Linked DNA regions of Astyanax mexicanus. The protein of the gene in region 3 purifies or fractionates together with the protein of the main gene of each other region. This does not show direct contact. Links are inferred from orthologs where the notes say so. Each region holds a gene or a part of one and is shown on either strand. Other genes may lie near its edges.

Evidence for each region.
Region 1: the proteins of tnip2 (region 3) and tank purify together in Homo sapiens (affinity purification with mass spectrometry; 3 studies listed by BioGRID and IntAct, with this or other methods). This does not show direct contact. The link is inferred for Astyanax mexicanus from reciprocal best matches to the Homo sapiens genes TNIP2 and TANK.
Region 2: the proteins of tnip2 (region 3) and map3k8 purify together in Homo sapiens (affinity purification with mass spectrometry; 3 studies listed by BioGRID and IntAct, with this or other methods). This does not show direct contact. The link is inferred for Astyanax mexicanus from reciprocal best matches to the Homo sapiens genes TNIP2 and MAP3K8.
Region 4: the proteins of tnip2 (region 3) and tnfaip3 purify together in Homo sapiens (affinity purification with western blotting; 5 studies listed by BioGRID and IntAct, with this or other methods). This does not show direct contact. The link is inferred for Astyanax mexicanus from reciprocal best matches to the Homo sapiens genes TNIP2 and TNFAIP3.

What each region holds. Positions count from the first base shown.
Region 1 is NC_064418.1:34,055,358-34,063,424, reverse strand, and holds the start of tank (TRAF family member-associated NF-kappa-B activator), read right to left. Parts: upstream 3,764-8,067; 5' UTR 3,577-3,763; intron 932-3,576; 5' UTR 895-931; coding exon 781-894; intron 654-780; coding exon 542-653; intron 1-541.
Region 2 is NC_064422.1:35,267,124-35,275,533, forward strand, and holds the start of map3k8 (mitogen-activated protein kinase kinase kinase 8), read right to left. Parts: upstream 3,301-8,410; 5' UTR 3,196-3,300; intron 1,728-3,195; 5' UTR 1,702-1,727; coding exon 1,381-1,701; intron 678-1,380; coding exon 507-677; intron 1-506. Other genes in the region: poly(A) RNA polymerase, mitochondrial, read left to right, coding at 4,488-4,650, 5,314-5,480, 5,619-5,852, 7,077-7,301.
Region 3 is NC_064414.1:51,113,383-51,122,187, forward strand, and holds the start of tnip2 (TNFAIP3-interacting protein 2), read right to left. Parts: upstream 3,661-8,805; 5' UTR 3,514-3,660; coding exon 2,869-3,513; intron 1-2,868. UniProt on the Homo sapiens protein: Inhibits NF-kappa-B activation by blocking the interaction of RIPK1 with its downstream effector NEMO/IKBKG.
Region 4 is NC_064414.1:16,578,966-16,586,906, reverse strand, and holds the start of tnfaip3 (tumor necrosis factor alpha-induced protein 3), read right to left. Parts: upstream 3,434-7,941; 5' UTR 3,299-3,433; intron 2,309-3,298; 5' UTR 2,272-2,308; coding exon 1,965-2,271; intron 1-1,964. UniProt on the Homo sapiens protein: Ubiquitin-editing enzyme that contains both ubiquitin ligase and deubiquitinase activities.

The DNA.
Region 1 (8,067 bases), on a different chromosome or scaffold from region 3:
AAACAATTCACTAAACATTTTGTTATCCATGTTTTAATGTAACTTGAATGAAATAATGAAAAAAGAAATAAATCAAATCAAGACTACTTGATTAAAATTACTGCTTCATTGCTTTTACTACCTATACTGCTATTATTCATTAAAGGAAACGTACTACTACACAAATTGTGCATTTTATAAATTAAATGCACTTTTTTAAATATATATAATGTATTTAGTCCCCTTTTTAAACTGCAATACGAGTTAAGGAAACATGCAAGTGTACAAACATGCTGATATTTAGCTGTGTGTTCTACTTTTAAGCAAACGTGGTAAATGCAATAAATGCAAAAAGCAATCAAACTAACTGATAATGTGGGACTAATACAAAATAATGGCTTAATTTAACTGGCTATTAAAAAAGTTGGATTAAGCCTAAATCTTAAAAAGCGTGGAAAATGTACTTCATAGTATTGTAATTCACTTATATTTATACAGTTGTTGTTTATATATATATATATATATATATATTTTTTTTTAAACACATCAGTTTCTGACTAACCTGTCCCATGCTTTATTGCTGAACTCAACTGCGCTTTCAGCTCTGAAATCAGCTGCTCTTGGTCTTGTATCTTCCTCTCCAGTTGTTGAGTATACACTTCAAACTCCACCTTCTATAACAACACACACAACAGAGGTCCTGATTTTCAGAGGTCCTGGTTTTAAAGCTGACTACACAATGTACAATACACAACGACTAAAAAAAAGGAGAAACAATGCATATTGTAGTTTGTACTGAACCTTCTGCTGCAGTTCCTTTTTGGCATTGTCTTTCTCAATCGAGGCATTGCGATATGCTTCATAGGCCTTGTTCAGCTTATCACTAATGTTTGGGTCCATGCCTTTTCGATCCATGCCTTCAGTAACATCACGGATGGAGCTGTCATGAGTCCTGAGGCCATAAAAAACACACATTAACAAACATGATAAACAGTAAATGGCACATGAAAAAAATAATTTTAATTTTTTTTTTTTTTTATGAGAGCAGAAAGCACTGCAGCTTGTACAGGTTTGTGATCTGTCTAAATCGGAGGTACAGAATGGTAAGTAGTTTGTTTACAAGAAATATGTCACTTCTCTGTCCGGAAGTTGTGTGATTTCTGGTCAGGCATACACTGGGATACTTGTTTTTTTTTTTTGTTGAAAATGGGGTAAACAATTTGGTCCCAAGCTTATTTAATCTGGTAAAAGGTAATTTAACTAGGTACAATAATGCTTAGAATTAACTATTGTTTAAAGCAGAGTACTGATTTGATTAATAAATATAGAAAAATTGTTCTATACCACATAAAACAGATTTTAAATAAGTTTTTAGGGCTAAGTGTAGACCAATTAGTGTAGATCATAGCTCTTGTCAATTGTTATGTATTTTTATTGTTTCTTTTCAGGTTAGAAACTTATCATAGAAACTTAAAGAGTTCTACATAAGTTATGATTTAATGATATCAAGGAACAAGACTAGTGTTTGGGGTTCTAAACTGGCGTAAAAAATACTGCTGTTCATATAACCTATATATGTTTCACTTTGCTTTAAATCAGTACATCAGTTCAAAGTATTTGTTTGAGTTAAATAAACCTTGCTCCCTTTTATTTACTGACAAACCAGTTTTACAGCAGAGCCTGCATGCAAACTGAGAACAAACATCTACTGACCACATTATACAGTTTAAATGTCCAGAAACAAAGGCCGAACAGAAACACTAAGATACTTTATTAAGTGATAAAGCATGTTCATTTTCATACATGTGAACCAGTTACTCTATAAACTTGGTCTAAAGAATTTTACTTAAGGCAACACATTTAGTAGGCTATATCTAGGTATGTTTGATATATATATTTTTTTTAAATAAAAAAAATATATATGTAACAATATAAATGTAGTCTAATTTAGTTTTCTAAGCAGAACATGGCATAACTTGATATGAGGTGTGTGTGAGGTTTGAACTGATGTAAACATTACTTTTGTTAGGTAGTTAAACCTAGTAAACCTATTTAAACTGCTGTTTACACAAAGTCACTTTATTTAGTGGCTTATATATATATATATATATATATATATATATATATATATATATATATATATATATATATATATATATATATATAATTTGAAATGACAAGGCAAACAAAGCAGAAATTTCTACAGACCAGACTACGAAGTGTCTAATTTTAGAAACAAACATCAAACTAACCAGAAAAAAAACAGAAAAATATAGTTTTAATTAATTAATATATCAAATTCACAATTTGTATTACACAACAAAAAACACTGTTCTATTTTTAATTTCTTTAAGTTTAAAAGCAGAAATAAGAAGATGTCACCTTTATATAAATAAGCATTGTTCTATATTTAATTTAGTAGAAAAAGAAAAGGTCACATTTATATGAATAAACCTTTTGAACATGTCATGAGCTAGGTTTCGTTTTTTTTTTATATATATACTAGCTAACCTAGTCAGTTAAGTAGGTGAAACAATTTCATTTTAAATAAACAAATTCTAATTTCAAATAAACCTTTTCTTTTTTATAAATGAATTTAGCTTAAAATACTTATAAAAATTGTGTTCTTTATAGGAACTGAGAAAAGCTATCAACGTAAACGTATTTTAAATATTATTAAACATATTTTATGAAGAGAAGCTTAAGTTTTCTACATTATGAAACTAGATAAGCTAGCAGATTTCAAATAACTCCTATAGGTGTGTGGGCAATTTTTTGAGCCTGTTTTTTAGGTTAGTTAACTAGCTGAAGCTATCTTAGCTAGGATAAAATATGGGAAGTTAGCGCTGGCAGCAGTATGAGAGGACGCAGCTCAGAGCTCCGAGGTGTTCTGTCGAGTTATGCTACCGATCTATAAGTGCTTCCTAAAGGCACTGCGCATGCGCTGATCTACACTTTTTCATTACTTCTCATGTTTTTTTTTAAATAATAAATATGTTTTTCGATTTTTTTGTACAATAAAGACCCTTTACTCATTGTTATTGCACAAAAAGTCAAATTGAAATTAATAATAATAATAATACACAATAATTATTATAGAAAATAACGTTACTTTTTTGCTTGCCATGATACAGTGGTTTATGCTATCTAAATATACTAACGCTACATCTACTGGGACTTCTACTGCCAACATCTCTAATATGCTCCATTATTATGCTTCTTAAGAATTTTACAGTTAAATATACACTAGGGTAGCACGGTTTGACAAGGTAGCACAACTCGACAGAACACCGGGTAATGCAGTTAACGTTAGTTAATGAGGGCGGCTCAGTAAAACTTTCTAAACACTACAGCGAGCGGACGCTCCGTCAGGGAGAAGATAGATAGATAAAGAGTAAACCAGCCCCTCTGCTGCCGACATTAGCTGTTTAACTAGCTCGAAGCTCGAAGACAAACCCGCCACCGACCCTAAACCCCCGTATCAGTATCTCAGCTGCGTTGTTAACAACCGCTGAACACACACAGTTAACCTAGCCTAGTAGCCGCTTAGCCCGGTTAGCCAGAACTATAACTCTCCGCCTGTGAATGGAGTCTTACCTTCTGTCGGAAAGTGGTCAAAAGACCTACATTAATCTAGCGCTCTGACCCCGCCGCGCTCTCCGGCCGCCGCTCTACTCTATAACTTTATTTTCACATTAAGAGAGAAGGGAGGAAATGGAGTGCTTCGCACAAATGGACGTTTGACATGTTTTACAATGAGCTGGGAACTTCCCTCGGGGAATCCCCACTGCCCTGCAGCTTCCGCCTGCCGCCGCGCAGCCAATCAGCGGCGCTGTAGCGCCTCGTGCTGAATGTGTGTGTGTGTGTGTGTGTGTGTGTGTGTGTGTGTGTGTGTGTGTGTGTGTGTGTGTGTGTGTGTGTGTGTGTGTGTGTGTGTGTGTGTGTGTGTGCAGCCTACTTGTCTAACTTCAGCCTGCTGCCTCTTCTGCAAATGTCAGTTAGGCCGCAGACAATATAATACTGAAAATAATACACAGCATGTCCAAATATCTACAGACACCCTTATCAATCAGTGCATTTCCAAAATTAGTCTTTTCTGCATTAAAATAACTATTAAAGAACTGTATGCACTTTACCATCCTTAAGTTTTAAACCTATATATTATACCTCGTTATACCTTCATTTGTTTATACAGGTTCTGTTTTGTACTGGTACTGTCATTACCTCTTTAATCCCCTCATCATACCTAACTGGCACACTCTCACTTTTATATTGCAGCTACAGCTCTGGAAAAAAAAAACTACGGACAACACTTCTTCCAGATTCCAAATAAAAATATTGTCATTTAGAGCATTTATTAGCAGAATATGACAAATGGCTGACATTACAAAAAAGATGCAGAGCTTTCAGTTCATAATTATAAAGATTCAAGAGTTCAGAAGTCAATAAGTCAATAAAGACATCACTTTCACACGTGGATTGTTCACCACATTCCAGACCACAATCCAGACCTTAACCCCCCCACAGAGTCCAAACCCTAACCCCCCCCCCACAGAGTCCAGACCTTAACCAACAGAATCTTTGAGATGTGCTGGAGAAGGCTTTGAACAATGGTCAGACTCTACCATCATAAATGCTGCAATATCTTGGTGAAAAATTAATGCAACACTGGATTGAAATAAATCTTGTAAAATTGCAGAAGCTTATTGAAACAATGCCACAGCGACCTCTTTTTGGCCAAGCTGTAGGAGAAAAAAAACAGCATTTTTTTTTTACATCCCTTCAGCGCAGGATAGGGTATCTTTTAGGTATGATGGTTAAGCTGGTGTGCAAGCATGATCCACCTGATCATGCCAGATATCCAAGCTTGCTTATGCTGGATGACTAGCATGAGCATCACAAAGCTGACCAGCATTACAAAACATGACCAGAAACAAATGCATTCACTACCAATAACTACTCTTTTCAGCATAGAATATTTTTTTGCCTGGATGACCAGCTTTTTAATCACCATCTGATGACCATCTGAAAACAGCTAAATGAAGTAGTGCAAAGCAACATTCTTATGCTAAACACGAATGCTTTAATATATATTGCAACAGTAGCTCAAACCCTTGATTACATTTAAATAAAATGCAGCATTTTTAGGCGTCTGTTTAATTTTGCACACATTAATTCAGCTGCCCTTTTTGTTTTAGGCTCATATGTGGTTCCTAAAGAATGTCCTATTCTTTCTAAGTTAATACTTTTCTATGATAATCATTAAAGCTTTGTGATGCAATGGGTGCATTTTAAGGTACAGTGTAAGAACATTGGTTATCAGTTCAAATCCAAAAATGACACATATTCACAAACAATTGAACTTATAGTGATTTTAGTTAAACAACTTTCACAAATGTGTGTCTGTATACTTTTAGGCACATGCAATTAACTGTCCTTTGATTTTTTTTAATTGCCTTCAAGCAAGAAGTATAGTTTACCTAAAAAATGCTAGGCTATAGGCCTAAAATTCATGTCTGCTGGACCCAAGACCTTTAAGAAGCTTTCAACTCATTTAACTACTACACTTAAATTAAACTGAAGTTAATAAACATATCTAAAGAAAATCAGGTTTAATGCCTGGTACTGTTGTAAGCTGTTATTTCCCCTTTTTAAGTTTGTATGACAGAGCATATATGACAGCAGCATTGACCTTTACTTAGTTCTGTGTCTGCAGCAGGTCTGTACTGCAGTCTGTTGACGCCCACTGCTGAATAGTTGAAGATGAGGTCGCACAAACACATACTCACTCTATAGTCAGACTCACACACAACACTTTCAGGGACTGCAAATATTGTGGTAAGTCTTATCACCACAATAACAGAGCAAGAACAGCAAGAGGTTCAGTATTTTTTTTTTTTTTTGTAATCTTGACTATGGGCTATTATCCGATTTCTGTGCATTTTGGCAACTTATTTTCACTATTTATTATATTTATAAGACTTTAGACAGGAATTATTATTAATTATTTCTCAGTGTAATAACATTGTATTTTCCCTTGTTATTTCCAGTCATGGCAAGCTGCATGACAGGGTGGGCAATTTGAACAGAATTTTAATAATTTAATGAAAACATGGTTAACTTAGGGTTGCAAGCATTTTGAATTTGATCTTCTGTTTCAAAAGATACATTTTGATTTTTCAAAAATTATTAAAATTGTCTTGATGTTTTTTTTTATGACAGGATGGACAGCTTAAGGTTTACCTCAGCTTAATATGGAGACAATTTGATTAATATTAATTTATCATATTGGTTAATGATTAATGATTAATGTTCCATGTTGCTCTGATGGAACGTAATTGCATTACACTGTGTACCTGTACTCAAATGCAATGACAATAAAAGCCTCATGACTTAACTTGAAATTAATATTATTAATTGCTGAACATGCAGCAAGTGCCTTCAGGCTCTTAAAAATAAACAGGTCATGTCATTAAAAAAAAAATTAACTGTTTAACAGAATAATTACAGCGCTGAGAGAAAACATATAAAATGTACAAAAAGTACATTAAAGTGAAGGCTAATATTCCTCTATATTTGTACAAATGTGTTCATTCAGAATTAATTTAGAAAAATATTTTTACACAGTATTTGTGTGGAATATAAACGAATATACTGTGTTGATATATATAACAGCATATTAAATGAATATTAACCTCTATTTTATCTAACAGCAAATAATAGTAAATGTTAAATGGTTAATGTCATGTTAGAATCAATTTCCTTACCACAGTCTCACAGTGGTAAGGAAATACTGCTGCAGGCATGCTGCTAAAACTGTACAGCTTTTGCCATAAGATGGCAGTGTTGCTATTGTTTGTGGTTCGCAGATTGCAGTGGCTGACTGGTTTCATGTTAAGTGTGATTTGTAGAGGCCTGCTTTAATTATCTTCTCACCTCTGTCCTTCTGGATCTAGAGAAGAGCAAATAAACTGAAAATCTGTTTACATTACATTGTTGAGCAAGATTATTGAGCTACAGGAAATTTCTAGTTTGTAAAATTGATAAAAAAAATGTCAACAGGATGTTCAGACATTCAATTTAGCCACTGCCATTGTATAACATGACATGGCAAATTCACGTTTTTGCTTTCTTTACAGCTCATGAATCAACTTATTTTATGCAGACATTCAAGGACGAGATCAATAGATTTTATGGATTTGTCAGTCCATCTGACTGTGCTCTTACCTCTTACAGAGGAAGTAGGAGTGATAGAAGGGTTCACATTCTTAGCATTCCACAGTGTAGGGCTCTCTCAGCATGAAATGTGGCTGGTGAATGTGTGTTTGTGAATGTGTGTGTTCGTATCGCTCTGTCAGTCTGAAAGCATGCATGCATGTCTGTGTGTGCCTGTTTTTTTTTCCTGGAAATTCTTATTCAAGCATAAATAAGAACACAGCTCAGGGATTTACAGTGAGGCACAGGCAAATCAAGCATGGGGGGCTAAGAATGGGGGGATTTAAGCTCACTGGGTTCACATACTGGTTGAAAGGTTCTGCTTCCCCAAGTTGTAAAGCTGGGTGTATGAGTATGTTACATTTAAATGAAATTGTCTTTGTTGTTGGAACAATATGAAAAATGTAAATTATTTAATGTAACCTCAAATAATGTAATATAACTTGCATCATACTACCAGAGTAGCCAATTTGCTATGCATAGAAAGATAAATATCACTGTTCTATATTAATTAAGTAAACATACACAGCTTTGGAAAAAAAATAAGAGACCACTTCATTTTATAAATCAGTTTCTCTAATTTCGCTATGTATAGGTATATGTTTGAGAAAAATGAACATTGTTGTTTTATTCTATAAACTACGGACTACATTTCTCCCAAATTCCAAATAGAAATATTGTCATTTAGAGCATTTATTTGCTGAAAATGATAAATGGCTGAAATGACAAAAAAGATGCAGAGGTTTCAGACCTCAAATGATGCAAAGAAAACATTGTATTCATAAAAATTTGAAGATTTCAGAAATCAATATTTGGTGAAATAACTTTAGTTTTTAATCACAGTTTTCATGCATCTTGGCATATTCTCCTCCA
Region 2 (8,410 bases), on a different chromosome or scaffold from region 3:
ACTTGTGCTCTCTCGGACTCTCGCTGCTGATGCCAAGCAGCATGATACGGAATTAGAAGCTTGGCTATTTTTATCCCATTGTTATAATTTATATGCAAAAACTCAGACAGTTTGCGTTGCTTTGCACATAGTTGCACACAGTGCTTAGTAATTCTTAGAATGTGATAAGTCACAGAATATAAGGGGTTAATAAGGAGTTTTGAATGTTTTCTTCAAATTCCAATGCATTATTTCTATCAGTGCACTCACTGTGCACTCCTTTTGTTGTCTGTAGCATATTTACACCCATGTCAGAACTTTTATAAGCAAAAACGAAAGAACATGCACTTATTCTCAGTCATGTTCTTGTCTAATCCGTCATAACTCTGCAAACTGCCTGTAGCCAAACAGGATGCACTGTAATAGGCTGATGGGAAAGGGAGTCATTTGTTTGACTGGAACAAACACACACTGCATGAGTGGGAAACCGAAGAGATTTGGCCAGATTCTCACATTCCTGGACTCACCCGCTTGCATGCCATTCGCTTGCGCGTTTCGATATCCTGTGCCAGGTGTACTTTCCCAAAAGAGCCTTTAGGAATGTGGCCAGAGCCCATAGCCTTGTAGGTCAGTCTCCATGGAAAAAGGAGCACGTCCAGGTCGATGCGATAGCGCCCCTCCTTAATGACCATGTCAGCCTGTAGAACGAGCACAACAGGAAGTGCACATGAGACACGGGCCATGAGACAAATCAACTGACTAACACTAATGAAACATGCAGAACCTCGGTCACACTGCTGCCCCAAGACACTGTCTGACCAGAAATACACACTGTGTGCATGACTGAAGAATACGGAGGACAATATAAAATCAGGTGCTATTTTTAAGAGTCTTATTGCATTTTTTGTACCAAAAAAAATACCAGTAACAAGCATGAAAAGTAAAAAAAAAAAAAGGTTTTAAAAAAATGCATGCACTAAATATTAGGCCACTGAAATGATTTAAGCACAATTGCCAAAAAAAACTTCACCCTATATGTTTGAGAAAAGACCAAATAATTTTCAACTGCTCTTTTGTTTGAAAAGCAAGACCAAAAAACATTGAGGGTGTTTAATTCTTGCAAAAAATAGGAATAATTGGAATAAAAACATGTTTTGAATTTGTGCATCTCTAGAACAATCCAATTAAATAAAAAAATCAGCATTTTAAACATGCATAAGTGTATGCCTAGGCCTTCCTTTTTACTGTAAGAAAGGCCAGTAATATAATTTATATTAATGATGCATTATCATCATGCAAAATGCTCAACAACCCCTGCACCATAATTAAGAACATAAACTTTATTCCATATTTTGCTTAAATAAATCCATCGTAACAGCCCAACATCACACACTATCTCACCTTGTTCAGCAGAACTCCAAACTCTTCTCCTAGTTCCTTAAGTGTGGCTACTTGTGTGTTGGAGATCATGTTCACGAAGGCCAGGAGATCAGACACAGTCCCGTACCTGACCTTCCCACCATTCTGCACATGAGAAACCAAGCTGCCCGAACTCTCCTCGTTTTCATCCATCTCGTCCTGCGACAGGCACTCCTCGAACAGCACGCCCGATTCCTCCTCTTCTCTGTTGGAGTAGAGATGTTCCACCGCTTGGAGGATGTCTCCGATGTTCATGTGCGTCAGAAGAAGTTCTATCTCAGCATTTTCATTCTTGAAATCCATTTTGGATTAGTGATCTACTGTGAAGTCTGGAACAGAGAGCTTTAATCAGACTACTTGCCAATAAAGGCCCAAAATGGCCTTAAGCACTTACTAATATATATATATATATATATATATATATATATATATATATATATATATATATATATATATATATATATATATATATATAGTTTAAACATGCAGCCTGACGTTGCTGCTGCTGAGCCTGTTTGGCTGTTTGCTTTGCAAATGAGGGGAGATTTTTTTAAGAGGAAGGGAAGGCTCAGGAAGAACAGCCCCTTCATTTTCAAATCATCAAGCCAGTGAAACAAAACAAGACTTTAAACCAGCAGACATACTGCTGGAGGCCTGCCACCTGAAAAGGCCATATAACTGAAACAAGTTACCGGCTTAGACAATGAAAACAATCATCTGACTCCATAAAACAAAAGACTCCATAATGCACTTCAGCTCTGTTAAAAATTAGAAGGTGTTTTCAGCTCCAGTCTGGGGAACCCACCCCCCCCCCCCTGCCCTTCACAGTTTGAAGCAGTCCCTGCACCGACACATGTGATTCAGTTCATAAGGGACTTGATAAATACACAAAAAATGCAAGTCAGGGATTCCCAGATACCAAAGTAATAAAAAACACTTTACTTTAAAAAATTACTTTGTTAAAGCCCCAATTTACTATATAAGATTTCCATAACATTCCAAAAATATGAGGCACTTTACCTAAATCAAAACCATGTCTAGACAATACAGATGAAACAATTATAGCCCAGCATTTTTTTTTCAGAATTTAACAAAATGCAACCAAATAGAACACAAAATTCCAATTATAATTTAGATAAGGGTGCATTTTTACCATTTCTCAAACTTAGAATGACAAATGATGGATGGTTAAAAACCATTAGCATCAGTAACTACTTTAAAAAATACATATACACATAGGCCTGACACAATATTAATGTTATCTTTGTTTTTGCAGACCTCAAAATTACCCATTGTGTTTGCTTACTAAGGATAATTTTAGATTATTTCATTATTTATTTTTTTTATAAATATTTGTTATTATTGCAAGCCTACACACACACACACACACACACACACACAAAAATAATTTGTCAACATATGCTGTACATATACACAAGTGCACCATGACAAACTACAGACAGCACTTACTGTATACATTGCAGTCTAAGGTACAATACCGACCACCTGTCAAGCTAATATAAAAAAAAGATATATACCTAGTGTATTCTAGAGTAATATTTTAAAGAAATATAGAGTAATATTTTATTATCTGTACTTTCACTTTGCTAAGTAAGTAGCTGGCTATAGGGTTTGTACTATGTACATTACATGAAATGCTCAAGTATTACTGCAGCCAAACCTAATATTATTAATATAATAATATATAAAGCACCTGCAGACTATAGTATTTCAACAAATTAGTTAAGTTATAACATATAACTTATATATATTAGGAAGATAATAGTATGTACTTACCGACATAGAAGTGTGTGTGAGCAGAGCAGTGTATCTGTGTGTGATCCTCTGAGCAGTAGTAAAAGTGACTGAATGTGAGCAGTGCTGCAGATCAGGTTGTTTGTGCTGAGTTTGACTCCGCCTCTCTCTCTCTCTGTCTCTCTCTTGGTCTCTCTCTCTCTCTGCTTTCATCACTCCTTCCTGCGTCAGCTGCGCTTTCGTTTTTCTTTTAGCCTCACTGGGTTTCTATGGCCCATCTCTCCACTTCCTCCATTTCCTTCTATGGAACAGTCAAAGGGTAAAGTTTACCGGTGTTAATACCTTTAGCAGGTTTCTGCACGTCAAATATTGTAGCCACATTTTACGTTATTATAGCTATATATAGCCGCATTCGTTATTATAGCTATATTCTCACAACATAAAAATATATACTTGTATATATATATATATATGTATATACATATATATATATATATATATATATATATGTATATATATATATATATATATATATGTATATACAAGTATATATTTTTATGTTGTGAGAATATAGCTATAATAACGAAGGGCATCTTGGATAAAAAAAACATATATATATATATATATATATATATATATATATATATATATATATATATATATACATATATATAGCTATATTCTCACAACATAAAAATATATACCAATATGTAAATATTTAACTAGTCCAAATAAAATATATATGCACGTCTTACCCGATGGAACTATGGTGTTGTTTTTTATGTAAATATTTGTTTTATTCAATACCAGGACCAAACTACCCTAAATAAAAGTAAATACACTTCACTTATAAGTCGAATAAAACACGACATTTACTTCTATAAAAGTTTTAAAGGGTTAGACGTTAATTTCTGTATAACTTATGTTATTTTTGCAAGTCAGAATTTGGTAAATAACATTTGTGATTAATGTTTTGTCTTTAAGTTTCCTATTTCTTATTTTTTTATACCAATGTTTAGTTGTTGACAACAGTGTACAAAAAATAAATAACTAATACTTAATACCTAAAATGCTAAATAAATATTTTAGATGATATTGAATTTTTTTAATGTGAAAAGGAATCTTAAATAATTTTAAGTAGTCTATTTTCAAATCGTTATTTAATTGTAATTTTTATATTTGAATATATTTTACAGATACTCTTTTTTTTTTAGTATTTTTTTTATTTTTATCTTTTTATATTATGAAACGATAAAGCGATTGTTTGTCCCTTCACAGCTCCCGTATATTCTCCCGTGTGTGAGAAGTGCGCATGCGTCTTGTACAGTGCAGCAATGGCGGCCTGCTTCAGCGTGTGTAGGGCATATGTGCGGGGAGCGGACAGGCTGCTGAGACTCTGTCCGCGCTGTGAGTTGCAGGCTCAGACCGGGCTCTCCAGGCTCCACAGGACCGGCTTTGCGACAGCGGCTCAGGCCGTCAGTAACACCGAGCAGACCGGTATGTTACAGCGCTCCGAGACCCAGTACCATCCCACTGAGGGACAGACACATCTCCCAGCATGAGCTAACTACACAGAGTTAAATAAATTACAGCTGTGTTAATAATGCTTCACTCCATCTCTCACTTCATATGTAGACTGTAGACACTGTTATAAAGTGGTCAGTTTGATTATGTGGTCATTGTCTGTAAAGATGAAAATGACCAAGGAAGCTACTGCTGTAATCAATGGCATCTTCTCCACACACACATTAACCTACCAGCCAGAATTTGGAGACACCTTCTCATTCAACGTTTATGTATTTTTTCCTGCAATGTAAATAAATGCTAAAGTAATCCAGACTATTTTTAAACAAGCAAAGTTTAATGTATTTGCTCTTATATTGGGTGCTGTTAACTTGTGTTTTGAGGCTAGTAACTGTAATGAACTTATTCTGTGCAACAGAAGAATCTTTTAAGCTTTCTTTTCTGGGGCACTCCTGATGAGTGCCAGTTTCATCATAATGTCAATTTTTTATGGTCTTTGCGACTGCACTTGAGAATACTTTCAAAGTTCCTGATTAAATGACCTTTATTTCTTAATCTAACATCTTGTCATACTGCAACATTTAAATCCCCATTAATTCATTTTTGATTATTTTACATTTTGTTTGTCATATTTAGCTGTATCAGATGCTAAGGAATCATTTTCCTTGATCCAAGAGAAAAGACATGATCAAGCTGAGAGGTCTGTCCTGATCAACTGTCCCCCAAATACCAACAAGAAGAAGTTTTTAGCTTATATATCTAAACATGGAGACATCAGGAACCATTTCTTTTATGAGACCTATGTAAGTATAATGCTGGAGTCTGTTCAAACCTGCAGTATGTTTGTCATTTGTGTGACAAACCATACTTTACTGCTCATTACATAATTATTTACATTATAAAATCCTCATCTTAAGTAACTCATGTCTGTCATCTTCTAGGGAATCTATGCTGTGGTTGAGTTCTCCAGCAGGGACAGTATCTCATCACTAAAGGAAAACTGTACTATACCAAGTCTGCAGCATGAAGCCTCCGTGCCCTTTAAATCTCGTCTGCTCACGTTAAGTTCGACTGCTACGGGCAAGAAGCAAACTGGACCAAACGCGATAAAGTGCCACAATCTGACACCCCCTTCCTTTGATAAGCTAATAAATCAACTATCCAAACAAGAGACTGTAAGTTACCTAATTTACCTTCTAAACTTTTTTTAAACTGTTTGTGATTGAAAGTCTGGAACAAGTTTCATGTGTTTGTTACATTATATATATATTTGGTCTGGCTAGACTCACATTGTAGTTTAGTGAGTGCAGCAAAAATGTGGCTATATGTCCTGTCATCATCAGCTATGTAGGCTGCATGTCCCTGTAATAGACACTGGCTGGGTTTGTAGAGCACTGTCTGGTTTGAAGAGCATTGTCTGTTCAGCAAATTGGTTTACCTGGTGTTGTGCTGGATTCTGCATCCCTGCCAGAATTCGACTCTCATTTCTGTACGTGCATTACATATTATCCTTGATTTTTAGTTTACTCTCCGATATTATAAAGAGGGGTTAATCTACAGCTACTGTAGGCATTTCCGTAAGTAGTATTTTTGTTTCCAGACTGCTGTGTGACATGCTCACAAAGGACAGTCACATTTTGGCACAACACCAATTATTTTTTATTCTTCTGTGTTTTTTTTTTTTTTTTTATATAATTGTTCAGTATAGCCTGCCTCAACTTTGGTCTGAAAGTCTAAACCATAGAAAAAGAATCCTATCATACTGCACACAGACCAAACCATGGTTCTGTTGATCCATTACACTGCTTTTGGTTAGACTATAGTTTAGTTACCATGTTCTGCAGTAGGGCTGAACGATTGATCTTTTTTTTTTATTGAAATCGCGATTTAAATGTGCCTTGAAATTTAAAAATAAAACTGATAACTGCATTTAATCAGAGAACCCTGGGAATATGTTATGTGGAAAGAAGTTCATTTATTTTAAATTTAATTATATTTGATAGATAGGTATGCGAACCACTAATACAGGTTTAGGGTTTAATGGATTAAAAATAATCACAATTTAAATCGCAATATTCTGTGGAAAAATAGCAATTAGATATTTTGCCCCAAATCATGCAGACTTATTCTGCAGCACCTTTCATACCTGCTTTTGTCAGTCAAACTGAAAAGTCTTTAATCCTGAATGAAACTATATTGGTGTGAAAGCATTCCAAAACTCTGATCTAAGACCAGCAGTTATCATTATTCTACTGAAATGACTAGTTAAGGGCTAGTTAATTTTAATAATTGTAATAATGATGATGGTGATAACAAATGAAGCTTGTTTTGTCTCTCAGCTCAAAGTACATTTCTGTCATCAGTTCTGATCACGTTTCTGTCTCTTGGTTTGTCCCCAGGTAGATCAGCAGATGCAGTGTCTGACCGAGGCCTGTCAGCTGACTGAAGAAAACATCAGCCTGCGCTTCTTGGTCTGCTCACTGCTCAGAGACATTGCTGCTGCATATTTCCCAGATTGCATTATCAGGCCTTTTGGGTCCACAGTGAACAGCTTTGGGAAGCTGGGCTGTGATCTGGACATGTTTCTGGACCTGGATGCAGTCAGTGGCCACGACCAGAGCAAGGTTAGTAGCTCAGGGTGACTTTTGGAACAAACCAATAAGACCCGGTCTATTTCAGGCCACAACAAATAAAAAAAATCTAAGAACAGTATAATACACGTATTATAGTGGGGTAAAAAAGGGACTCCAAACAAATGTTTAAAGTTTATTGTTTAGCATATATACAGATAGCCTAGTCTATTACAAAAAATATAGATAAAAAACTAAAACGCTGTCCCTTGCTACACATAAACAAAGACAAAACCCAGTAACCAAACAAAATGGCTGCCAGTTCCTACAACTGGTGTTAATTACTGTACATACATACCTTCATGTATACTAGTGCATCTCAACAAAATTAGAATAACATTGAAGAAACTCTTTATTTAATGAATTCAATTAAAAATTGTGAAACTAATATACTATGTAGATGTATTACACAGAGTTACAGCTAATAAAATAAAACCCCAAAAATCAGTGTCTTGGAAAATTATAATATTATATGTGTGCCAAGTCCTGCTGGAAAATGAAATGTACATCTCTATAAAAGTTGTGATTTTCTGGGGAAAACACCAGGAGATGACATGTCTCTCTAAACCATCACTGATTGTGGAAACTTCACACTAGACCTCGAGCAGTTTGGACTGTGTGTCTCTCCACTCTTCCTCCAGACACTGGTCCCTTGATTTTCAAATGAAATGTAAAATTTACTGATGATCAGTGATGGTTTAGAGAGACATGTCATCTGCTGGTGTTGGTCCACTGTGTTATATCAAGTCTAAAGTCAGTGCAGTGTTTTCCCGGAAAATCTTTCAGCACTTCATGCTTCCCCCTGCTGACAACTTTTATGGAGATGTGGATTTCATTTTCCAGCAGGACACACAGTGAATAAACAAAGGTTAAGCAAAATTGAAGGTCAGAAGTTAGCAGGGTCAAAACATAAGCAGAAAATATTTGATTAACCCAGCAAGAAGACAAGATCTAGTGAGGAAAACTAATGGGGAAGTTAACCATGGAAATTGATTCCGGAGAGTAGACGAGACCCGGACTGGATCTATATATAGGGGGCACCTGACAGAGACACAAACACACAGGAAAATACAGCATGCCCGTGACAACGCGATATATATTGG
Region 3 (8,805 bases):
CAGAATAGAAACTAAAGAGGACAAGGAAATAAACAAGAAGTAAACAAGGAATATAAATGAGGGCTATATTTTATTTAATTCTTTTCTAAATTTTGGCCAATATTTCAGCACCTCCCACCGATTCGCTTTAAACTCAATCTTTTGCTATAGAATCCATAAAAATATAATTAAACTGAATCGTGATACTTTATCGTGTGTAATATTAATGCAATATTTGATACTTTCCAACATATCGCCCATCCCTACTTACACTACACAATACAACACTTGTTCTAGGCTGTTCCTATTATGTTAAAAAAAAGAATCATCCATAATAAATATATACACTGATTTCTTTGTGTATTTAAGGATTTATTTTCTGTAAAAACTCCTGTAAACTGATTTTTTTTCTTAGTTTTTTTAGATTTTTGGCCAATATTTCAGGGTGTACTATTAAAGCGATAATTGATCATTTTCTGTCATGTTGCCTAACCCTATTTACACTGTTCTTATTATGTTATAACAAGCATAATTTATTATAAAAAGCCTTTTTTCTGTAAAGTTCTTTTGATTTCACCATTATATTAATAATATTGAATAAATAATCAACAGATCAGTAGATCAGCAGACTGGACTCACTTTTGGCTGGAAACAGTTTTTGCGCTGCATCCAGCGCCGAGTCCTTTATACTTCTTATGCATACAGTTTTAAAATATTAAACCTTTTATGAAGCTTTTAAACGTTTTTTCTCAGATTTTTGTTCTAAACTGTTCTTACTATGTTAAAACAATCGCCTACAAGGTGATGTCAGAACAGGCTCCTTCCTACCTGCACTCGCTCCTGAAGGCTTACGCTACCTCCCGGCCGCTGCGCTCCTCCAATGAACGTCGCCTCGCTTTGCCAAACAAACATTCACACAAAGCAATCCAGACTGTTCTCATACAGAGTTCCCCAATGGTGGAACAAACTACCTTCTACTACCAGATCAGGAGAATCTCTCACTATCTTTAAGAAACTCCTGAAGACAGAGCTCTTCAAAGAGCACTTACTCTCCTAACACCTCTAACTAACTACCTTCCACTACCAGATCAGGAGAATCTCTCACTATCTTTAATAAACTCCTGAAGACAGAGCTCTTCAAAGAGCACTAACTCTCCTAACACCTCTAACTAACTACCTTCTACTACCAGATCAGGAGAATCTCTCGCTATCTTTAAGAGACTCCTGAAGACAGAGCTCTTCAAAGAGCACTTACTCTCTTAACACCTCTAAAACACTAACTACTTCTAACCCCATTTCCTTCTTCCCCTCCTTCACTTCTCTATCCTATTATTCCCCTTTGACCTCCTTTTATCCCTATCCAAAGTTGTTTTTACCTTTAAACTTATTTTACATTGTACTTGACTATTGTAAGTCGCTTTGGACAAAAGCGTCTGCCAAATGTAATGTAATGTAAAAAACAAGAATAATCTATTATAAAAGGCAATTTTCTGTAACTTCTGTTTAGTTTTGCAACGTATAACCCATTATATCACCACTTAATCTATAATGTTATTTACAGATCAGCAGACTGGACTTGCATTGTTTCCATCTTTTTACCAATTTACTCATTGTGATTACACTTTGATTCACACACACACACAAACACACACACACACAGATGTAAAATCTGTGTGATTTTACAACTTTTATCCTATTATATCACCGCTAAATCTATAATCCAGCTCTACGTCTTTCAGCTTCTGCTTTAATTTACCAATTTACTCATCGTGATCAGCATTTTTTCATTTTCACATGTTTATTTTATATTAATTGTAATTATTAATTATTCATCATAAAATTTCGTAAAATAAAATTAACCTGAATCGTGATACATTATCGTGTGTACTATTGTTGAAGCGATACTTGATACTTTTCTGCCATATTGCCCATCCCTACTTACACTACACAATACAACTTTTGTTTTAGACCATTTTTATTATGTTATAACAGGAATAATCTATTATAAAAGGCTATTTTCTTTGTGTGTACAAAAGTACATTTTTTGTTAACTTATATATATATATATAACTTATATATATATATAAAAGCCTATTTTCTGTAAAAATTAATTCGCCAGTACATCTATAATCCAGAAGAAACTGTCCACAGATCAGCACTCTTTTGCTGGAATCCAGTTTCTGTGCTACGTCTAGAGTCCTTCGCACTTTTATTATATATATATATATATATATATATATATATATATATATATATATATATACAATTTAACTGAATTGTGATACATTATCGTGATACTTGATACTTTTCTGCCATATTGCCCATCTCTACTGTTCTCTACACTGTTCTTAATATGTCATAACAAGAATAGTCTATTATTATATATACAAATATATAAAAAATATATAAATATATATTAACATTTTTTTACAACTTTTAACCCATTATATTATATTACCACTAAATCTATAATCCAGTAGAAACTGTCCACAGATCAGCAGACCGGACTCACTCTTTTACTGGAATCCAGTTTCTGCGCTGTGTCCAGAGTCCTTTGCACTTTTATAATATGTATATATATATATATATATATATATATATACACACACACAATACAATTTAACTGAATTGTGAAACATTATCGTGATACCTGATACTTTTCTGCCATATTGCCCATCTCTACTGTTATCTTCACTGTTCTTATTATGTCATAACAAGAATAATCTATTATTATATATATATAAAATATAAAATATATATAAATATATATTTAAAAAAGTTTTTACAACTTTACAACCCATTATAACCCATTATATTATATCACCACTAAATCTATAATCCAGTAAAAAAAACTGTCCACAGATCAGCAGATCAGCAGACTGAACTCACTCGTTTGCTGGAATCCAGATTCTGCGCTGCGTCCAGCTCCTGGTCCTTCAGCTTCTGCTTTAATTTGTGGATTTCTTTACACAGGCTGCCCACCAGAGATCTGGAGGGTCCCACCAGGTCCTCCCCCTCCACGGGGCCCACGGTGGTCCTCTCGTGCCGGGCCAGCCTGGCCTTCAGCTCGGCGATCTGCCCGTCTTTGGAGAGGATGGTCTGGCCCAGTCTGGCCAGTTCCTGCTGGGTCTCGTGGTAGAAGGTGTTGATGGTGGAGCAGCTGCGCAGTTTGGGGTGATCCTCCTGCTTCTTGGTGTGGAGATCCATGGTTGTGTGTGTGTGTATGTGTGTGTGGTGTGTGTATAGGTCTGGAGGGTCCTGGAGTTTGAGGGTCTGGTGGAAGAGAAGGTGCCCCTCGCTCTGGGGGTCTTTGCGCGCGGTGCGCTCGAGCCGGAGGTCTCTCTCTCGCTCGCTCTCAGTCAGGCAGACAGGCAGGTCTGTGAGACAGAAGGTCAGAGCTGTCAGTTTGGAGGAAATGATGTGCGCCACGCGGGGATTTCCTGCGGGACTTCCCCGTGCCCATCTCGCGCTGCTCTGTGTTTTTTTTTTTTGTTTTTTTTTATGTGTTCTATATTTTTTGGCACTCCCAAACATTCATCTAACCCCTCCAGGGAACAGTCCCGGGCTGTTCAGCTGTTCCTCAGCTGTTCTTCAGCTGTTCCTCACTCTTTTCAGGCGGGTTTTCTCAGTTACTTTGTATCCAGACGTTCTGAAACCGAGAAAGAGCGAAAGCCGAGCTGAGCAGTGCGCATGCGCGAACACACACACACACACATATACAACACCACCCCCCACCACACCACCCCAACCCTCAACTCTCTTCCTCTTCTTATTCACTGAGTTAGTCACTCAGTTAATCAGTTAAAGGTGTGAAAAGTATTCTATATTCATTACTCTTTAGGCTATATAGAGGTATATATACTACGGATGTAAAAAAAAAAAGACTTTTTTTATTTTGTAGAAGTATTAACTTTTAAGTAAAAGTAGTGTAAAAGTACTGCTTTCAAACATATTTGAAGTAAAAAAAAAATAATGTGAAACAAGGGCAAAAATAAAGCCATTAAGAACAAATGCCCCCAAAAATTCTTATGGATTTTTCTAAAAGACATAATTACTATAATGTTCTATTAAAATGTTAATGTTGATCAATTTGGGATGCACTAGGCTCCCTAGTGTTTCAGCTGCAGAAAATTTGAATATTATATAATAAATCCTGCTGGAAAATGAAATCTGCATCTCCATAAAAGTTGTCAGTAGCAGAGTGAAGCATGAAGTGCTGTTAGATTTTACGGGAAAACAAAACTGCACTGACTTTAGACTTGATAATAAAACACAGTGGATCAACACCAGCAGATGACATGCACTAGTATATGGCCATTGTATGTATTTTAGTAGAATGTAAATATATTAAAAAGGCTTAGTTGGACTGGAGTTTGTAAAACTGGAGTTCTCTTGAGACTCTGCATGGATCATCTTCATACTAGACTACATACGTCTGCTATGTTCTTGCTGGAGTGTGTGTGTGTGTGTGTGTGGGGGGGGGGGTTGTGATGCAGGTCTGATGGATCACAGTATAAACCAATAGAGAGTCGGAATGGTATATGTTTATACTTCTCTACATCCAATCACAATCAGATTCACTCTATCTGGATGGAGAGATTTATCTGGATAGAGGTTTTATTGAACGAGGAGAAGCCGGAATAAAATCGAGCTGAAATGAAATAGGAGAATAAAGAGGCTTTTTTTGTTTGTTTTAAATGTAAGGAGTAGAAAGTTCAGATAAATGTGTGAAAATGTGAAAAAAAAAAAAAAATACTCCAGTAAAGTATAGATAACCAACATTTGCACTTAAATAAGGTAACAAAGTATTTGTACTTAGTTTACTTAGTTACTTACTCTTTTAATATATAGCCATTAAAACCATGTTTTAAATGGTATTTTCTTAACGTTTTGAATATTTTATTTTTTTACTATTAAAAGGCTTTTAAATGATTAATTTAGCTCTTTTTTCATAAAATAATCAAGCTATTTAAATGCGAATTCACTGTCCACCCCTTAAAAAATTAATGTTAACATCACAACCTTTTGGATTAAATTTCTACAAAATATTTGAAATACACTGACATGCCAAAAGTCATGGGATAGCACTATGTACAGTAAACTGACCATATAATGTGTATTTCCACAGAAAACGACTAACAGAGAAGTGACTCTGGCAGAAATCTCATCCATATTTAATGCGGGAGACCCTGCCCACATATCCCACCACATGTCAGTGCTGAGTTTTGTAGCTTCCAGGGGTCATGCCAAAAGTCATGGGACACACCAATAGCAATTCTTTTGGTACGTTAATGTAAAGCATGTTAAAATGAAACCATCGCTTTAACTATTGAAACCCCTCGAAACCCCCCTCAACACCAAAACAGCATGTTGATCCGTGGAAAAGAGGAAAAATGCAGCAGTTTAAAGCCTCGGCCTGTGGTTTTTAGGGGCATTTTGTTTACAACACTTTTATGACAGTGTTCTTCGAGACAATTGAAAGTTCTCGAAGGAACATATTTTGCTCCGTTATGAACCAAAATGAGTGGGTTTGTTCCTTTAGCTCGAAAACAATGATTGCGTAAGCGCTTTAAAAAAAAAACGATGCAATAGAAGAACCACTGTTGCTTCCACAGACGGGAGTATTGGGGCACCTGCTCATTCATAATTCATAAGTTCAGTTCACTTATTTACTCTATGTAACATTTAAGTCTTAAAACTGAGTACTTAAATAAAGTAAATTTGCAGAAAGTTGCAAAACTTTTTTTAAGTAAATTTTACGCATCATTTTTGTCAGTGTAGGGCCTAGCCAACCAGATATAACCTGACCGCCTCACGTTCATCAGTTGACTCAGTCTCTACTTTTCTCCCCTGTTACTAAAATGACATCATAGGAAATCACACTGATCAGCTTCTGCTGTATTTCCTGAAAGTATCTTAGCGTAAAAAGATGACTTTTAAATGGTTGAGTCAGCATCTCTCTCTCTCTCTCTCTGTGCCAGTTATGATAATCTGAACTCATGTGTTTTGGGAAACTGGGTCTATTTTAGTGTGAACATGAATATGCAGAATGGTGATGAGTGTTACGTATCTGTTATGTATGTTGGTGGGTGGTAAGTAGGTGTTGTTACCCATGACAAAGCCTGTACACCTCGTTCTTTTAACCAGTGCTTAGCTGCTTCTAGTAAATCTGGAAGCTTAATAAATTCTGAGAAGTAAAATATAGTCAGTTGAAACATAATACAAAAAAAAATATATATATATATATATATATATATATATAGCTCTGAAAAAAAGAGAGCACTTCAGTTTCTGAATCAGTTTCTCTGATTTTGCTATTTATAGGTTTATATTTGAGTAAAATTAACATTGTTGTTTTATTCTATAAACTACAGACAATATTTCTCCCAAATTACAAATAAAAATATTGTCATTTAGAGCATTTATTTGCAGAAAATGAGAAATGGCTGAAATAACAAAAAAGATGCAGAGCTTTCAGACCTCAAATAATGCAAAGAAAACAAACAAGTTCATATTCATAAAGTTTTAAGAGTTCAGAAATCAATATTTGGTGGAATAATCCTGTTTTTTAATCACAGTTTTCATGCATCTTGGCATCATGTTCTCCTCCACCAGTCTTACACACTACTTTTGGATAACTTCATGCTGCTTTACTCCTGGTTCAAAAATTTAAGCAGTTCAGTTTGGTTTGATGGCTTGTGATCATCCATCTTCCTCTTGATTATATTCCAGAGTTTTTTAATTTGGTAAAACCAAAGAAATTCATAATTTTTAAGTGCTCTCTTATTTTTTTAGAGAAAAAGTGCAGAAAAGAAGAAAATATTGATTTAATAAAGAGGTTTTATTTTTAATTTGGGAGCTTAAAATCTGATATCTGACAAGTTAAGAATTACATTTTCTAAATTTGAATTACCTGAATTCTAAACAGAATATTTACTGGGGTAATTCATATGTTTTAATGTTTGCAATGCTTTTTTATGATTTTTATGAAACTTGAATTAAACATTTCTGTAAAAAAAAAAAACATAAAATACATACAATTTTCAAATATAAAAATCATAAATTCAAATTTATGTTTCGAAACTTACAAATAAGAAACATTCAGTAGATAGCTTTGAATTAATGTATCTACAATTTATGAATGAGAATTGTTTTTAATCTTAAAATATATGGGAATGGTTCAAAACATGAAAAAAACATTAAAATGTATGAATTACCACATTAAATATTTCTTATATTTCTTCCCCTCTGAATTTGAGGTCTAATTAAATATCTTTTTTTTTTTCCAAAAGTTTATAACATCAGATTTTGGTTAAAGATTAAAAATGGAAAAGTCTGAAAAATAAGTAAAAAAAAAATAGATGTCTCAATTTGTATGTTATTAACCCTTTTCAGTATTCATTTTTATTTAATAAAAGTCAGACAGACAGACAGACAGACAGACAGACAGACAGACAGACAGACAGACAGACAGACAGATAGATAGATAGATAGATAGATAGATTGTAAAAAAATCTGTAATGTTCTTGAGGATAAACCTTCTTGCAGACTTTATCTATAATTCTAATTGTTGATTAGCTGTAATAGTTGTTCTAAATCCAGGTATTAATCTACATATTACATTTTTTAAGATACACATATTAGTGCATATAAAAAAATAGAATACCATTGAAAGGCTACTTTATTTTTTACAATTCAGTTAAAATTGTGAAACTCATATTATATAGATGTTTTAAACACAAAGTGAAATATTTTAAGAGTTTATTTATTTTATTGTTGATGATTATGGCTTCCATCTAATAAAAAAAATAAATAAATAAAAAATATATATATAATATTATATAAGATCAATTGGTACTTGGTATTGGGCAGTGTGGGCAGTGTGCCAAGTCCTGCTGGAAAATGAAATCTGCATCTCCATAAAAGATGTCAGCAGAGGTGAAACTATCAAAGGGAAGAATAAAGGGAGATAATAGGATCAGACAACACTGACTTTGGTTCTGAACTGAAGTCATACCAAATTTTCCCTTAGTTTTTTTTTGTAGCCCTGAGACTAAATGCTTAACAGATGTCTCTGAACTGATGGTATGATTAAACTGACTACTTGTTTATACAGAACAGACTGTACATTCTTTGAGTTTTACACATTACATGGACTTTTTAATTCCATAAAAATAGAATATGGCTCCAAAATAGATAGAATTTTTAAGGATCATATTTAAACCCTTTGACTGCATGGTGTTGCCATAAATAAAAAAATGTCAATGAAACTTTTGCAATGTTTTGCCCAACTACAGTAAATAAAAGTTACAAATTAATAATTAAATAACTTTAAAAAGCGTTGCAAATAGAATAGGACTCCCTAGAGCTAATAACAATTGACCTAAAATCTAATAGAAAGTCTTTCTTGGACAGGAGAGACAGTTACTCCAACAAAAGCAGGATAAACTCTTTTTAAATCGCCTTGATTTAAGAAGAAATAATTAATTAGCATATATAATTCAGTTTTCTAAGTGATTAAAATCCAATAATCTCCAATCCAATATTCGGGACAAGTGTTTAAACACCTGATGATTAATCACTAAATAGTAAATATAAGACCCTATTTTAGATATATATGTCTTTTTCTTTGTCTTTATTTTAGTAAAAACACGTCTTGTGCAGCTTGAAACACACAAAAGGCATGAACTAACTCTCTTAATTAATCATGGGTGTGATTAGGTTTTGGGCATAATGTGAAAAATAAACCAATCAGTGTGCCAGTTGTCTTTCTCTTTAAGAGCCACGTGAGCTCTGACTTTGGCGCTTTCAAATCTTGACAGTGTG
Region 4 (7,941 bases), about 35 Mb from region 3:
CAAAGGGCTGCGACGAGGTGTAGACTACCTTGGATTTTAAAAGAAACCCAACCCAAGCATGAAAACAAATATCAAAAAATAAAATGAATAGACTTTAATACATTTCAACACACAAGATCAAGGCTGAGTAAAAAACAGGTCCTATAAATAGCTCTTAAATGTGAGCAAAGCAGAACAGGCCTTTGTTTGAAGGAAAATAGTTTTGGGAGGACTGAGAAATTTTCCACATGACTAGACACATTTTATGAAACGTTACAATATCCATGACACCAAAGTGTCACTCTGTGTAAAAACAGAACTATACCTCCAATAAAACAATGTGTTTTACATTTCACTATCCTAAGCTTTTGACATTTAAAAAAACAGTATTAGCTTTGTATAACTGGATTGACTATGGAAATTTCAAACTTGACAGGAGAGCTTTTGTCAGTAATGTTTATATGTCGTAACTAGGGATCTTAAATGTATCAAATGTAAAATTAATTAAGTATCCTGATGCAGGTCACACATCATAAATTATTTCTTCATGTATGGGGATATTATATGTTATAAATCAATTATAATAACACATTGGCACAACTGGTGAAAAAAATGATATGAAACACAGGGAGGTGATTGTCAGAAATACCCAGCTCCTCACTCACAACCACATCCTTATCAGCATGGATCGCCATTTCAGTTGCAGCTTCAGGACATGGACACAAAATAAAATGAGTCAGCTGCACAGACACTGGAACGGATTGTCCTGCTCTCCCTCACCCCTGTCCCAGTGTCACCTGATACTATGAATTCTAGTAATCAGCAGCCAGTGGTATCCATTCTGAGAAGTCTTTTATTCAAAGCAGCACATTCAGTTCCAACACTTTCACATCCGCAAACGACTTCAAAACACAAAATTCCCAGACTAGATTAATTCAGAGGAAGCTGCACAGAGTCCAAATATCTATATTAGTAACATATGTACAATAAACCATATAAATTAACTGTTTTAGATGCTAGCTACAAGAGGAAAAGTCAGCAAATAAAATGTCTGGATTCAACAGCTCAACTCTGAAACGATTCGAAGTCACCACAATACCACCGTCACCCCAATCTTGGAAACACACTAAGGAAAAAGTTCTAGTCATGACAAAAGGTGATGAACAATACATTTTGGCCGACGTCTCCTTTCAACTTTCTGTAAAACACAAGCTTTCATGACACTTCTGTTCAGGTGGGGCTATTGTAACATAAGTGACTGTAAAGTGAAGCAAAAAGGGCAAGTACACAGATGCTTCCTCTTGTTAAATTACTCATCCTAAGCAAGCAGAATAGCTTGACCTCAAGTTAACAGTAGAAATGTTTAACTCTCTTAGAGCTTACAGTTAACAGCGCAATAGTGGGGCCACTTAAAATCAAATCACACCAAAAAGGGGTGCTACAGGATTTTCCCTCTATGTCTAAAATGCCTGTGCATCAGGCATTTAAAACAAACACAATATACATCCACAACTGACTATTTGATCTTGTCATAATTCATACACAAACCTTTAGCAAGTCTATCTTATACTGAACAGAGTTCACCACAGACAAATTTGTATGTGCAGTGGGCCAGTTAGGCCTAGAGGGCCTTAAATGGGCACAATTCGTTAATGAAGCAAAAAGGGAACTGTGAATAGCCAACAGGATCTGCACTACATGAGAAAACTTTTATGTTAATGCTATACATGATTACAAACAAATCCTTATTAGATGATGGCTAACTAAAAAACTTTGTATTCAGCTGTAAGCTTGCTCTACAGACATACCCTGTGTTAAAGGCAAACCAGTTTACCACTCTAAAGCCAAGTATATCCATAATTTTCAGTCTGCAGGACTCTCCAATCTGATTTGTACAAAATCCCCACAAAAAAGCAGCTACCAAAAGAGATGCTCAGGCTGGCCAAATCTCATTTCTATGTGACAACCTAAAAGCAAGACTTTACCGTTCGTCCGGAGCGGCACCAGCTTCTTGACCTCTCGGCACCAGTTGAGCCTCTTCTCCTGCTCCAGGGAGATCTGCATGGCCCGGTCCAAGATGGCTGCCTGGATGACTTCGCAGAAGGCCTGCGGGAACTGGCTCATGCGGATCATCTCCAGAGTGTAGCGGTGCATGCCCCGCAGGTGATGGAGCAGGCCGCCGCTGGAGGAGGGCTTCACGACATCGTTGGGGACACGTTCGCGTATCTTTACAGCCTTTAGAAGGTTGCTGACAAACAGGAACTTGGGCAGGAAGTTCTGGCCCTGGGACATTGTGTTCTTGGGAGAGGAGCGGGACACCAAATTATTTCTGTTGGGGGGAAAAGAACAGCAATAATGACATTACTCAACATGTACAATACTCAACCAATTACTCAACCAATACACTCTGACAATGTAGGCTGGAGTAAATATGTGGGTTAGATATAACAGGTGGGCCCATGGAGCCACCTGACGTTGGACACTACCAAACCCTTATTGTGAAACACTTCCTCGAGGTCATGATGACAGAGATGGACAAAGGGTAATTTTTGGTCTATTACACTACAGTCTGCGGACGGCAGACACACACACACACACGATTCTCATCTTCTGTCAGTGAAAGTGCCTGAGGATGCTAAGCTAACCTACAAGGGCATCATTTAGGCTCTCCTGCGCTCAGTCACAGGCTGAGGTTGTCTGAGGACAACTTATACAAATACCCTGCCTCTCTCACACACACACACACAACTCATGCCCACCGTCTCTGCCCGCAGTAAAACGCTGCTCAGAGGAGAATGGCTGAGCGGACCGGGGGTGAGGCGGCGGCGGGGTGTTTTGCTCGGCTGCAGCACAACAATAGGAGCCGCTGCGTCTCGCCGCTCCGCTCGGGGTAAAGCAGCGGCGACGGCGAGCTGGCGCTCCAATTACGTAATTCTGTCCCTTACAGACAATAAACCCCCGCCACACACACTCCACAACCCGCCACACACACTCCACTACCCGCCACACACACTCCACAACCCGCCACACACACTCCACTACCCGCCACACACACTCCACTACCTGCCACACACTCCTCATTCACACTGGCGAGGCCGACAGCGGGCCGCCGCTGCGCGGAGTGTTTAATAAGCGGCTGTGAGGAGCGTCTTCACAAACAATGGCTGTCAGACCCGGGCATTCAGAATCACACCGTCCATCCGCTCTCACTCACACACCGAGTCACCGCGGCCCGCTCCGAACCGACTCCGTCTCATTTGGCTCAGTGTGGAGTCAACACGGATAATCGCGGGGCGGACCGGGGCCGCGCGCCTCTTACCTGCTCAATATGTCGGTATCCAGCAGCGGAAGCCCGAGAGAAAGAGCTGCGACTCCGCGCCTCCTCGGTCCCCCAGTCCGGAGCGCTAAACCCCGCTAACCGCGCTGCTGCTGCTCCATGGCGCTTCACACCGCGGGCTGATCCGCACCACCAGCCTCCTCACAATAACACGCTCTCTCTCACACAGCGGAGCGGAGCGGGGCTTAACCAGCCGAAAAGCCTTCGAGTTGATGTCAACAAGGAAAAGCCAGCGGGGATTTCCAAGGAGGTACTTTCCACTTTCACAACCGCGCGCAGCCAATTACCTCCCCAGGCCCGCGCGGACGCTCGCGGAGCGCGCTGACGTCGCCCTCGAAACGGTGACGCAGTTACGCTGCTAATGTTTGCCACACCCATCGGCGGAGGTCTGGCCGGGAGTATCTGTCTGCCCGCTGTCGGGCCTTTAAATCTTTCTATTGTCTTAAAAAGCTCCAGCCTTTACCACCCATGAACCCACCAGCCCCGCTGCCTGCGCCCCTCCGAGCCTCCCCCGCAGCGGCGCAGGGCTGCTGTTAGCCGCGGAGCGCGCCTGTTTCAGGCCTTTCAGCGGGTTAGTGCTGTCTGAGACTGAGGCCCGGCCAGCAGAGGGCGCTCAGACCCGCAGCCAGAGCACCCTCACCACCCTCACTAGATAACACCTCAATACCACCACCAACTACAATTCAGTTACGTCTATATAACTGAGTTAAACAGCTTTAGGTTTATTCTGGGTCAAAAAAGGAAAATACCTACACCACATGAACAACATATTGGGACAGCTGCTCATTATTTTTCTTCCAAAATTAGGGATATTAAAAAGGGTTTGTCCCCACTTTATACTAGACTATAAAGCATTGCTGTGAGGATTTGATGCACTCAGCACCAAAAGCATCAATATATTGGAAGAACCCTCATACGTCTAACCCATGCCTGGCATCACGTTCAGGCTTACATTTATCTGCTCCAAAAAGATTCTATTATCAGTTCTTCTCTACATGGACTAAGCAGAAACCAAGTAATAGTGGCAAAATGTAGTTAATGATAAAAACACGTCTCTAAAAATATAAAAACATAGAATTTAGTAATTTTGCTTTTTACTCATTTTTACCCTACTGAGACAAACTTATTTGCATATCACTCTGACCTGAGCTAAGAGGCTTTTGGCATTGTTTTGGTAAATGGATAGTAATATATTGTGTAACATTTTTAGCTCTTTTAGATCCTATCATCTTATAAATCTTATGTGTAACTGGGAAAATAGCGTCTGTATTGTTTACAACACTGTCTGATGTTGTTGAAGTAAGCAGGACCCAAAAAACTATGTAATGTTATGTAACCTGAGAATCTTGTACTATTACTTTGCTGTGTCAGCTCACATGATTGTTTCTCTTTCAGTGTTAAGTCCCAAAATGCATGTATAAAGTGTGTTGCTGGGTGGTGGCTTAAAGTACAAATGCCACAACTGTACGGGGAGCCCAGAAGCAAGAAATACCAGTTTAACTGCAGCCATTCTCTCGTTCATATGCCAACTGTACAGATAGCAGTACTGTAAAAAACTGATGACAATCTTTTAAGTGTTGCAGTACAGGGTGTCTTCTCAAAAAAGTATATTTGTATTCTAAAATTTGAAAGAATAAAACAAAATAAGTGGGTGACCAACAAATCCATGTGTGGAGCCACCGTGTCCAGCACCAGGATCAACTGTTTGTTGTAAGGCATCACACATTCATAAGGCCTGGTGTCACGGGATGGATTATTTGAGACCTCTGTATCTGTACCTCAATGAATAGGACCATGTCATTCTAAATTACTAACCTTTTTTGGTATTGGTAACTTTTATCTTCCTTCTGAATAACTTTACAATCCCACACTTTCTTCTGGGTGCAAAAGTGTATTTACCAATTTTGCTCAGCCTACAGCAGGAAAGCTCCGCCCATACTCACATTTATGTTTTAGAAATATTTCAGTTCAAACAGCTTTTTGATTGAGGCACGGTAAGAGACGGGCACTTTGAACAGTATTAGGATGACATCTAAAACACAAATTTTAACGTATCCTTTTTGTTTAAAATTGTCGTAAAAATAAATGACGCACATTTAGAAATGGACCTTAAGGAAAGTATTTGTAATATAGCAGTTATTATATTATAACTATCTAGTAATCTAGTAAGTAATTCTTTTACTTAATGATGATATAGCTGATATAGCTTACAAAGATCATCTGCAGCATCATCTACCCACACCTTTAATAGGTGTGTATACTGTATATATTAATGAAGGATTGCAAGGAAATGAACTAAAATGTATAGATGAATAAATGTAGCTCTAGTTCTATTTTGAGCCATGTATAGTAAAGTAATGTGTTCATCTAGTGTAGTTATGCTTTTATTGTGGTTTAGGAAGCATTGTATTTACATTGTTTCTAGTAAAATTATATGTTGAAGTAGTCTAAACTATAATAACCATCTAATTTAAATGATATTTGCTTAAATAATTTGCATGTTGCATAGGTATAGGAGTTTCCATTAGTCTATAATAGAAGTATTGTGTTAAACTAGTGTAGTTTGATTATATAGTGGTATGGATATAATAGTTTGATATACACATAAACGTATAATTCCAGTTATTTATCATTGTGTAGTTAAAAGTACACTACATTCACTGTCCATCTTATCAGCTTCTCTGATCATATATAATTGTATAATTACAGACTGTAGTCCTGTATTCATGTCTCTGTACACTGTATTATTATTCTTCTTTCACCCTGTTCTTCAGTGTTGCTGTACAGTTTGTGTTTGTGATCCTCTAGTCCTCCATCAGGACACTATTGGTTGGATATTTCTGGTTGGTGGAATATTCTCAGTCTAGCAGTGACATGGAGGTGTTTAAAAACTCCAGCAGCACTACTGTATCTGATCCATTCGTACCAACACAACACACACTAACACCTCATAGATCACCACCATACTGATCAGTGTCAATGTAGCCGCTCTATGGTGGTCTATTCTGTAGGGTCTCGAGCATTAAAGAACAGAGTGAAATAAGGAATGTACCGGTAATTATAAATTATAAATTGTAAGTATAAAACATTTTAGTTGAAAACCTGCATTCATGCCGGCCTGTTGCAGATAAGGATTGACACAAGTACTGCACAAAATCCAAACAAACACGACTATACTGTTTATTTACTGTACGCTGGTCAGTGTTCTGAAATTTCAGACATCGTCCATGATATGATCAATAAAGCATGCTGTGACATATTTGATCATAACATTAAAATATTGTCACATTTTCCACATATAATAATCACCTGCTCATACCAGTGCTTTACCAGAACATGTACTGTACTATCTTCCCTCATTCAGGCTTGTGCTATACCCACGAATAGGTATTAAGACTGTCACACAAACACATTTGGTTGAATCATCATGTTTTCAGTAAATGAACAGACAGGTTTATACTGTTCTCAGTATTTTCTGGCTAAGATTCAGAAATATCAGCTCTTGTACTATGAATTAATTATTCTAAATTGTCACACAACCTGTTTCAATTTGTCTGTTTTTCTTTGTAAAGAATTTGTTCAGTAATCCCAATATACGTACCCAGTTTCAGTCTGCTCACACACAGTGCAGGGACATCTACGAAGCCTTCACTGTGTCCATGCCTGCAGCCTATTCCTTTTTTAAGTTGCTTCTTCTAATACTTTGTTCAGATTTTTACTGCCGTATGGCCTTGTATAATGTGCCACACGCTGCTTAGAGTGGATGTGAACATACATATGATTCACATCAATCAACCGTCCACTTTTTTTCTCACTCAGTTTAGTCAAGGGGAACTTCCCCGGGGTTATTCTCAGACAGAGATGAAAAGAAAGAAAAAAAACTTTATGAAGTGCAGAAAAGTTTTTCCACAGCCTGGCCTACTCTGCGCTGCTGTACATTCTGTTTATAACCAGGTCTAAAATAAAGATCAACCAGTTTCACACTGATACATCTGGTGTGTCTATAATAATTAATAATAATTCTATAATAACACAAGTTACTGTTTTATGATAGGCACAGAGATTATTAAGCTTATTTGTGTACATTCTGTCCAGGCCAGTGTTCAGTAGATGTATTTATTATATGGTTCACATGACTTTGATCATTATAAATGCTGTGACTCAGAACTATGCAGTGCCGGGGGCTTCCAGTTGGGAAACACTGGCCTAATAAAACTGTTTCATACTAGTTAAAAAATCACCTGCTTCTATGGCGGCCGCAAACGTGAACTCAGACACCATCTAGTGGACATTTTTACAAGCTCAAGAGAATGGGTAAGAAGTGCAATGCAGTAACTTACAGCACTGAGTTTATACCTGACTGATGAAAAAGATGAGGACTAGCAGTCCTGAGGAGGCTGAGGGTGTCCTACACTGGTTCTGAAATCATCACACTGTATATGTTTTGTGTTTGAGTGTAAATTGTTTAAACCTGTAAGTGTTGTGTGACAGAAATGTAAACCATGCCCTGACTCATTTTATCTACTTGTGCTTTTTTATTTCTGAATACCTGAGCCTATTTCAGTAATGATACATTTTGAGTTTCGCATAAGTATATAATTTTAGCTCAGTTTTAACTGACACTG